2 linked regions of the Xenopus tropicalis genome follow. The protein of the gene in region 1 purifies or fractionates together with the protein of each later gene. This does not show direct contact. Links are inferred from orthologs where the notes say so. Each region holds a gene or a part of one and is shown on either strand. Other genes may lie near its edges.

Region 1 (3,930 bases):
AACACTAGAGCTTCCCATACAGACACGGGTTGGGTTTTGCTTTGTACAGAGCTCGTCACATTGCTGGGACACAAATAACATTTAGAATGTAAGCTCCAGGGGGCAGGGACCTCCATCCTCTTGTCTCTTTGATTCTTAACTTATTGCAACTGTATCTTGTATTTATTTGTATTTATTGTTATACTGTGTATTTATCTATTTTAATAACCCCCTGTTGCATTCATTTATTGTTCTACTATACAGTGCTGCAGGGTCAGACTGGGGGGGTGCACTCAGTGTGTATCATTGTGTTACTGTAGCAGTTACTCAGTGTGTATCATTGTGTTACTGTAGCTGTTACTCAGTGTGTATCATTGTGTTACTGTAGCTGTTACTCAGTGTGTATCATTGTGTTACTGTAGCTGTTACTCAGTGTGTATCATTGTGTTACTGTAGCTGTTACTCAGTGTGTATCATTGTGTTACTGTAGCAGTTACTCAGTGTGTATCATTGTGTTACTGTAGCTGTTACTCAGTGTGTATCCCTGTGTTACTGTAGCAGTTACTCAGTGTGTATCATTGTGTTACTGTAGCTGTTACTCAGTGTGTATCCCTGTGTTACTGTAGCAGTTACTCAGTGTGTATCACTGTACTACAGGGTGCGTACCTGTCACTATTATAGTGAGATTGTGTATAGCAGTATAACCTACAGTATATAGTACGTACTTCAGAGAGAGAGAGACGTCCCAGTTCCCCCGGCCATGAGTTGCTATAGCTAAGCCCCAATGCCGCCCCTGTGCCCCCCACACCCGCACTCACCTTACTTTCCCTCAGTCTCCCAGTCGCTCTCAGGACTCCGGCTGCCCCGGCACAACTTCGCTCCCACACAGTCAGGACCCTGTAACCCCGCCCCCTGGGGCTGCCCGCCACACGCCTGAGCGCTCCCAATCTCCCCTCCCACTGCGCACAGTACAAACCGTTACCGAGTGTTTCAGTTTAGTTTATATGCTGTTGATTCCCGAGGGCAGAACTCTCCGGTTTGCGCCCAGGTGTGAGGTATTTCCCCACGGCCAGACAGGCAGTGCCGCGGACAGCTAAAAGCTAGTGAGGAAAAAGTTGCCCGCGGAGGTTGCGCCCTGTCAGTGTCACACCGGACAAGATGGCGGCTGCGCGGCTCGTTGGGGTTCTGGCCAGGCTCGGCGGGGCTAACAGGACAGGTACCCGGGAAAGTCTTATTTATATGGGGGTGCTATATGAAACCTCCAACTTCTGCTCTGTTGAACTGCAGAGTCCCCCCGGCTCGGCTGTCTGCGGTGGCTGATGGGTATTGTAGTTCAACAGGAGTCGGAGGGTACTGGTTTATTACATGTGGTGTTAGAGGGGGTGTGCAAGCTGGGCACAGAGGCTAATATAGGGCAGGGGGTAGTGGGGAGACAGGGCCCAGGCTGGTGTGAAGGAGAAATAATAAGCACAGAGATAGGGCAGGAGTCTGGCATTCATTTGCCTTATGGGTAATAATGCACACTGACTGACACAGTGCAAAAGTGCAGCCATTGCCACAGCAACCAGACATTGTCTTGAGCAAAAAGGCACCTGTAGCAACCAGATATTGTCTTGAGCAAAGATACGGCCGTAGCAACCAGATATTGTCTTGAGCAAAGATACAGCCGTAGCAACCAGATATTGTCTTGAGCAAAGATACAGCCGTAGCAACCAGACATTGTCTTGAGCAAAAAGGCACCTGTAGCAACCAGATATTGTCTTGAACAAAGATACAGCCGTAGCAACCAGACATTGTCTTGAGCAAAAAGGCACCTGTAGCAACCAGATATTGTCTTGAGCAAAGATACAGCCGTAGCAACCAGATATTGGCAGGTACAAGTTTGATAAAATGTAGTCAGATTGGTCGCTTTATCCAAATTGGGCCAGTGGGTATTTATTGGCAAGGTCGGCTCCTAATCTGCGCTGATTGGCTAGCCACATGCTTTGGCCTAATTAACACCACTCAAACTAATTAGCCTTTAATGACAATCCCCAGATTAACTTGCAGGGGGCCCTTGTGCACTTACGCTGGGGGGGCAATCCCCATTTATCCATTGAAAGGTGGAACCATTTTGGAAGCATTTAAAGGGGAAGCTGTCACTCACACCTGTTATAAATGTATTTACAAATCTGAGCTGTCAATCATATATTGCCTGCCCCGCCTCTATGCCTGCGGCATAGAGGCGGGGCAGGCAATATATGACTGACAGCTCAGATTTTTAATTACAATTACTTTCACTTCCCATTCAGCACTTCCTAGATATCCCCCAGATGGCAAATACATAAGATTTTGGGGGGACACAAAGCTTTGCCTTAATAACAGGGTACCCAAAATGGCGCCGGCCTGCTGGCTGTGACTGTAAATTCCAAGACTGAAGGGGGGGAAAAAAATAATTTTTAAAGTGTAAGTAAAGTTTATTTTGCTCATCTAACCTGATAGAAAAGGATTTGGAATAATTTTTAGGGTTACGGGTCCCCTTTAAATATAAAGCGTATTGAGAAGAGCCCATCTGGGCAATGTTAGGGCGCCCCAATTTATAATATACTCATTTATTCATTGAGGATTGTTCCTCTCTCATTGGTGCAACACTAAAGTGACGGGCAGGCACTCACACTGGGGACCTCTGGGTTCAGAGAGAGGCGATGTCCTTAAACAACCCTTGTTAAATTCCCCCGCTGATGCCTCGAGCTATAGAATAACCCAGCTGCTGTGTGTATGGCTAAATGGGAGTGGATAAAGCACAGGCAAATGGGAAATGATCAACTCCATTGCTTTATCCCACTGGTGTGACCTTGGGACTGGCACAGGCCCCCGATAATGAGTTGGGAAACACCTCAAACAGAATTTTCTAGTGAAGTTTCTCATTTCAATTTGGTAAAGGTATTTTTAAAAGTAGATAATGTTTGGGCTGAGCAATATCCGGCATGGATGTGGCCCTTTATCTCATGTTTAAGGGGTGCTGGGAGTTGCAGTTCAGCAACATCTTGGGATACAAGGTTAAGAAACAGTGGAATCCATATTGTTTGTTAATTGCACAAGTTACTGTCCGTTCATTGGCTGCTGTAACCCAGTGTCACAGTACCGGGCCCAATTGGGTTTTATCTGTTCAGAACAAAATGTCTCCCTCCTTCAGAACCTGATCATTGAATGCACAGTCTCCCTCTGCACCCTATTTATTGCTTTATTTGCACCCTTGCCTGTGTACCTGGGGGTGGGTACATATAGATGGTGTTTGCAGGTTTAATTGGAGTAATTGGCTGCCCACCCAGGCTCCCCTGCTGTACAGCTGAGAGACCCCCCCACACACACACCCCCAGCCTGACCACATTCCTTTAGAGACACAACAGACGGCACCGAGACTGCAGCCATTTCTATTGAATACCGTGACCTCTGTCCCACATACACGGGCAAGGTGACCCACACGGGGCAAAGCCAAGTCCCTTCTGTGTGATACATACAGAGCAGCCCCCCCCACTGAGTAATATGTGCCTAGGGCAGCCTCATTGCCCCTGGGGTACATGCACTCTCATACTAAAGATCCCCCCCCCCCGGGGGCCAGGTATTAATGTGAAGCCTGGAAAGCTGTGATTGGAATACAAATGCTCTGTATAATGATATGGCCAAACTCTTGTCCTATTAGTCAGGGCTTTCCAGTTTGAGCTCCACAGGCCTACAGTATATCTGCCCCCCCCCCCCCCAGCCATCCTAAAGACATCAGTAACCCCCCCCCCCCCCCATATACTTATATTGGGCAGTGCAGTGTGTATAAAGCTTGTGGGTTCTTCTCCTTCAGCCTCCATGCAAGTGTGCTGTATTAAAGGGGAAGTTATCTAGATGCAGGTTGCAGATTCCATGAGTTAGTAGGGGGGGTGAGATTCCCCATTGCATGTGTATCTGTTTAGTACGGTG
Region 2 (4,289 bases), about 27 Mb from region 1:
GAGGCTTGTTTCAGCAGCCCTCTACTCTAATATTAATGTAACAGCTTGCAGATTCAAACTATACTTGCCCTTTAATATTTCTTGGCAATCATTCAATAAGATTGCATTATTAAAATCTATCTATCATCTATCTATCATCTATCTATCTATCTATCTATCTATCATCTATCTATCTATCTATCTATCTATCATCTATCTATCTATCTATCTATCTATCTATCTATCATCTATCATCTATCATCTATCTATCTATCTATCATCTATCTATCTATCATCTATCTATCTATCTATCTATCATCTATCATCTATCTATCATCTATCTATCTATCATCTATCTATCTATCTATCTATCTATCTATCTATCATCTATCATCTATCATCTATCTATCATCTATCTATCTATCATCTATCTATCTATCTATCTATCATCTATCTATCATCTATCTATCTATCTATCATCTATCATCTATCTATCATCTATCTATCTATCTATCATCTATCTATCTATCTATCTATCTATCTATCTATCTATCATATATCTATCTATCTATCTATCATCTATCTATCTATCTATCTATCTATCATCTATCTATCATCTATCTATCTATCTATCTATCTATCTATCTATCTGTCTATCTATCATCTATCTATCTATCTATCTATCTATCTATCTATCTATCATCTATCTATCTATCTATCTATCTATCTATCTATCTATCATCTATCTATCTATCTATCATCTATCTATCTATCTATCTATCTATCTATCTATCATCTATCTATCTATCTATGTATCATCTATCAATCTATCTAATCACATATTTCATCCTTTGTACAAATGCACACACCCCAGCAGTCCCCACCCCCGTTTCAGTCTGTCCCAAGCAGCCAATCAGCGTGTGAGTAGAGCGCAGCCTGTGTCTGTGCCTGCTATTGGCTGCGGGCCCATGCTGGGAGTCAGTCCGCACAGGAGTAGCGGGGGAGGCGGCACAGAGCTGCGCTCGGCGAGCATCCCGGTTGCCCATAGCGGTATAAGCCTGACAGCAGGAGAAGCAGGCGGGCACTGTGGGGTCACACGGGGGAGCCCCGGGAATGCTGTCTGCCTAACGTTTCATGCAATAAAGCTGTCAGTGCGACTGGTCCCTGCGATAGTAGCATCTGTGCGAGTGGCTGAGAGCAGCAGGATGGGGATGCGTGTTGCGGCGTGATACAGAGCGTATTGACAGGCGGATCCATTACAAAGGGATCGTTTAGCCCCAATGTTAGAAGGTCAGCAGTTGCACCGAGTCGCTCTCCCCGCCGGCAGGTAGCGGTGCCCCCAGGCATCTCGGTATAAGGACAACACCCAGCAGCTTCCAGCCGACATGAGCAGCTTGTGTGGAGCAGCAATCAGCCTGCACCCCCTGCCGTGTCACTGACAGGCAGCCCCCTCAGCCCCCTCAGCCCGCACTGCTCCCAAGGATCCGACACCGAACCCAGCTCTGCCCCAACCGAACCCAACCCGCTGCCCCAGCTTGCCCCAAGCCTGACAGTGCTGGCCCCAGGCTGAGCCCGGCTGAGTGGCTCCCAGTGACCCTCTGACAGCAGTGCAGGTGGGATCCAATTCAGTTCCAGTACCAGCTTTGCTGCATTGTCCTGCTTTGTGCTTTGTTCTCTTTTGGTCTAAGCCCATTATCTACAGAAGGATCCATACCTTGGGCATGCCCTACCCCAGTTTTGCTGCATCATCTCCATCTAGGGGCTTTTGTGTGCCCCCCCTGACATATGAATGCCCCCCTCAGCGGAGGTGCTAGCCGGTGCCTCTGTTCTTTGCTCTGAGGTGCCACAAGGGACAAAGGATAAGCTGTAAGTTATTGGCTTGACTCCTGGACTGTTTATGTGGCTTCCTCTACCCTTGTGTCTTCTTCAAAACTCTCCTTTCTGTATTTGCTGGGCTCATACGCCAACCCATCCACAAAGGTAATGGAGCGGCTCTGCTGGGGTTGGTGGTGGCATCTTGGCATTTTGTGCCTTATGCACTGGGCAGCTGGAGACACTGGAAGTAAAACCAAAAGCTGCAGTGAGGTGAAGCAGGTGTACCTGGCTAAGGGCTTCAGCCTGAATGGAGCGCCACAATCGGAAATCTCAGGTGAGTTGGTCTGTTAGAGTATGGGCATGACCCAGGGACTTCCCAGAAGGGCATTTCAGCTGAGAGTCTAAACAGATATCTCTGGTCACTTCTTGTAGAGTCTCAGATTATCTTATAAGGCAGGGCAGTTGCTTTATATATCCAGGCTAGATCTAGGGGAAAAGGCAGCCCCTGGCCATGAAGGAAGCCTGCATACCTAACATGAACTACTCTCCTGCAGTGTGGGGTGTTATTCCTGGTGTGTATACTGTAAATACCCCTCAGACAGTTGTTACACAGTTAAATCTGTCCATTCTACTTGTATCTCCATTCTCCCCACAAGGGGCCCCTCGGGAGCCCTGGCTAAATGCTCTTTCCTCCCGGCTCCTGTGATTCAGCAGTGCTGGCTTTCCAGTGAAGCCCCCATAGACACGCAGGTGGGGTAGCGCTGTGTGTGCAAGCGCTGTTGCATATGGGGCTGGAATCTAGCAATGATAATAGTTAGTTTGAATGGGCAAATACCAGCAAGTAGGATGTGTCATGGTAAAGGGGTGCCTTGAGTCAAAAGAAATGAATTGCTGGGCATTAGTTATGTATTGTTGATGTTTCAGATGTCCCTTAGGGACACAGAATCCACAATTGCTTGATCATGCTGAAAATGCTACTAAATTGCTATGGGATTGAACATGCTTTTTGGGGTGCTAGTGGCCTGGATTGTCAGCTCTGCAGGCCACAAATAAATGACTTATTGGCAGAACCAACAATCCTTAATAGCTAAATCAACACTTTATATTTCCCGCTGTTGTTAAGAGATTATTCCTAAAAGGATTTGGGGCTAGTGCTGTTATACAGTGTATGTTTGTAAGGAAATAATAATAAAAAAAACACATACAAGAGTATTGTAGAAATGATACCTATATTGGCTAACAATAAAAATACATTGCAAGTTATCAGAGCTCCGAAAGCTTGCAATGTATTATTGTTAGCCAATATAGGTATCATTTCTACAATACTCTTGTATTTGTGTTTTTTCTTCTTATTTTTGACACTGGCTAACACGGCACTACAGTTTTTATTTAAGGAAATAAAGCATCACCGTATTCAGGGAAGCCAAATACCTCTTGTGCCAAATTCCATAGACACATATAAATGGACTCAGTATTAGGAAAAATGTTTGACTCAGTGCTTTTATTCGTTCTCTCCTCACATACAATATATTAAATCTATATCTCTATGTGTGTGTATTGTAATTGATACCATCTCTGAGTGCCGCTACCTGCACTGTAACTTTATCTTGTCGCTCAGATGTTGCTTGTTGCGCTTCCATGCTCAGGTGTGAATATGTTCTAGGGCACTGCCCAATAGATGTAGCACCCTGCAGGAGTGGATTAGAATGTTATATCCTTTGTACTCTGGGTTCTTGCTACTTACTGTACCCTTTGTACTCTTTGTACTGTGTACATTGTGCGGCACCAGTGTGTTTCCTATAGAAGAGATAATAGACATTTCCTTTGGAAAAGTATTTAGACCCCTCATCAATTATTTCATTACTGAGTAAGAAATACTGTGCAATACTGGCACTCAATGTTAGTTTTCAAATATTAGTGTTCATTTACAAAGGGAATAAAACTGCAGCAAAATACCATGTCTTAGCCCACAGTATTCGCTGTTCCCCCTTGTGCCTAATGCCTGCCATCGGCACAGGGTTCCACAATTTCATATTTTATAGAGCCACCTACTGCAACTATGCCAGCATTAAGGCTTTAGAATGTACTAGCTTTGCACACTATTCAGGAGGGATTTTGGCCCATTCTCCCAGGCATATTTGCCCCAGGCTGTTCAGGTTAGCTGGATAGTAAAATAGCAGATGTGGTTGAAAAACAAAATGTGCACAGGTTTAAAATGCGAGCACAAAAGAAGTGTTATGTGCCCATAGCCGAAAAGGAATTAGTAGGATCAATTTTGATGTGCAAATCCCTATTTTTTTAAATTAAAATGCAGTGTTTTACCCAGAATTCCAGGGTACTGTAATTGCACCCACCTGTAGTGCTGACTGCAAATGGCATACAATGTGGCAATAGGGGAGTGAATCAGCGGTGGCTGTTGAATAGTGCATAAGCTGCGGTGCACAGTATCAGAGATGGCATCATATCCTGCGTGCCCGTGCCCATGGTATCAATAT

Evidence for each region. Proteins that work in one complex are often made in the same cells at the same time.
Region 2: the proteins of hadha (region 1) and gpc1 purify together in Homo sapiens (co-immunoprecipitation; 3 studies listed by BioGRID and IntAct, with this or other methods). This does not show direct contact. The link is inferred for Xenopus tropicalis from reciprocal best matches to the Homo sapiens genes HADHA and GPC1.

What each region holds. Positions count from the first base shown.
Region 1 is NC_030681.2:154,397,451-154,401,380, reverse strand, and holds the start of hadha (trifunctional enzyme subunit alpha, mitochondrial), read left to right. Parts: upstream 1-1,130; 5' UTR 1,131-1,137; coding exon 1,138-1,195; intron 1,196-3,930. UniProt on the Homo sapiens protein: Mitochondrial trifunctional enzyme catalyzes the last three of the four reactions of the mitochondrial beta-oxidation pathway.
Region 2 is NC_030681.2:127,205,484-127,209,772, reverse strand, and holds the start of gpc1 (glypican-1 precursor), read left to right. Parts: upstream 1-1,489; 5' UTR 1,490-1,962; coding exon 1,963-2,128; intron 2,129-4,289. UniProt on the Homo sapiens protein: Cell surface proteoglycan that bears heparan sulfate. Binds, via the heparan sulfate side chains, alpha-4 (V) collagen and participates in Schwann cell myelination.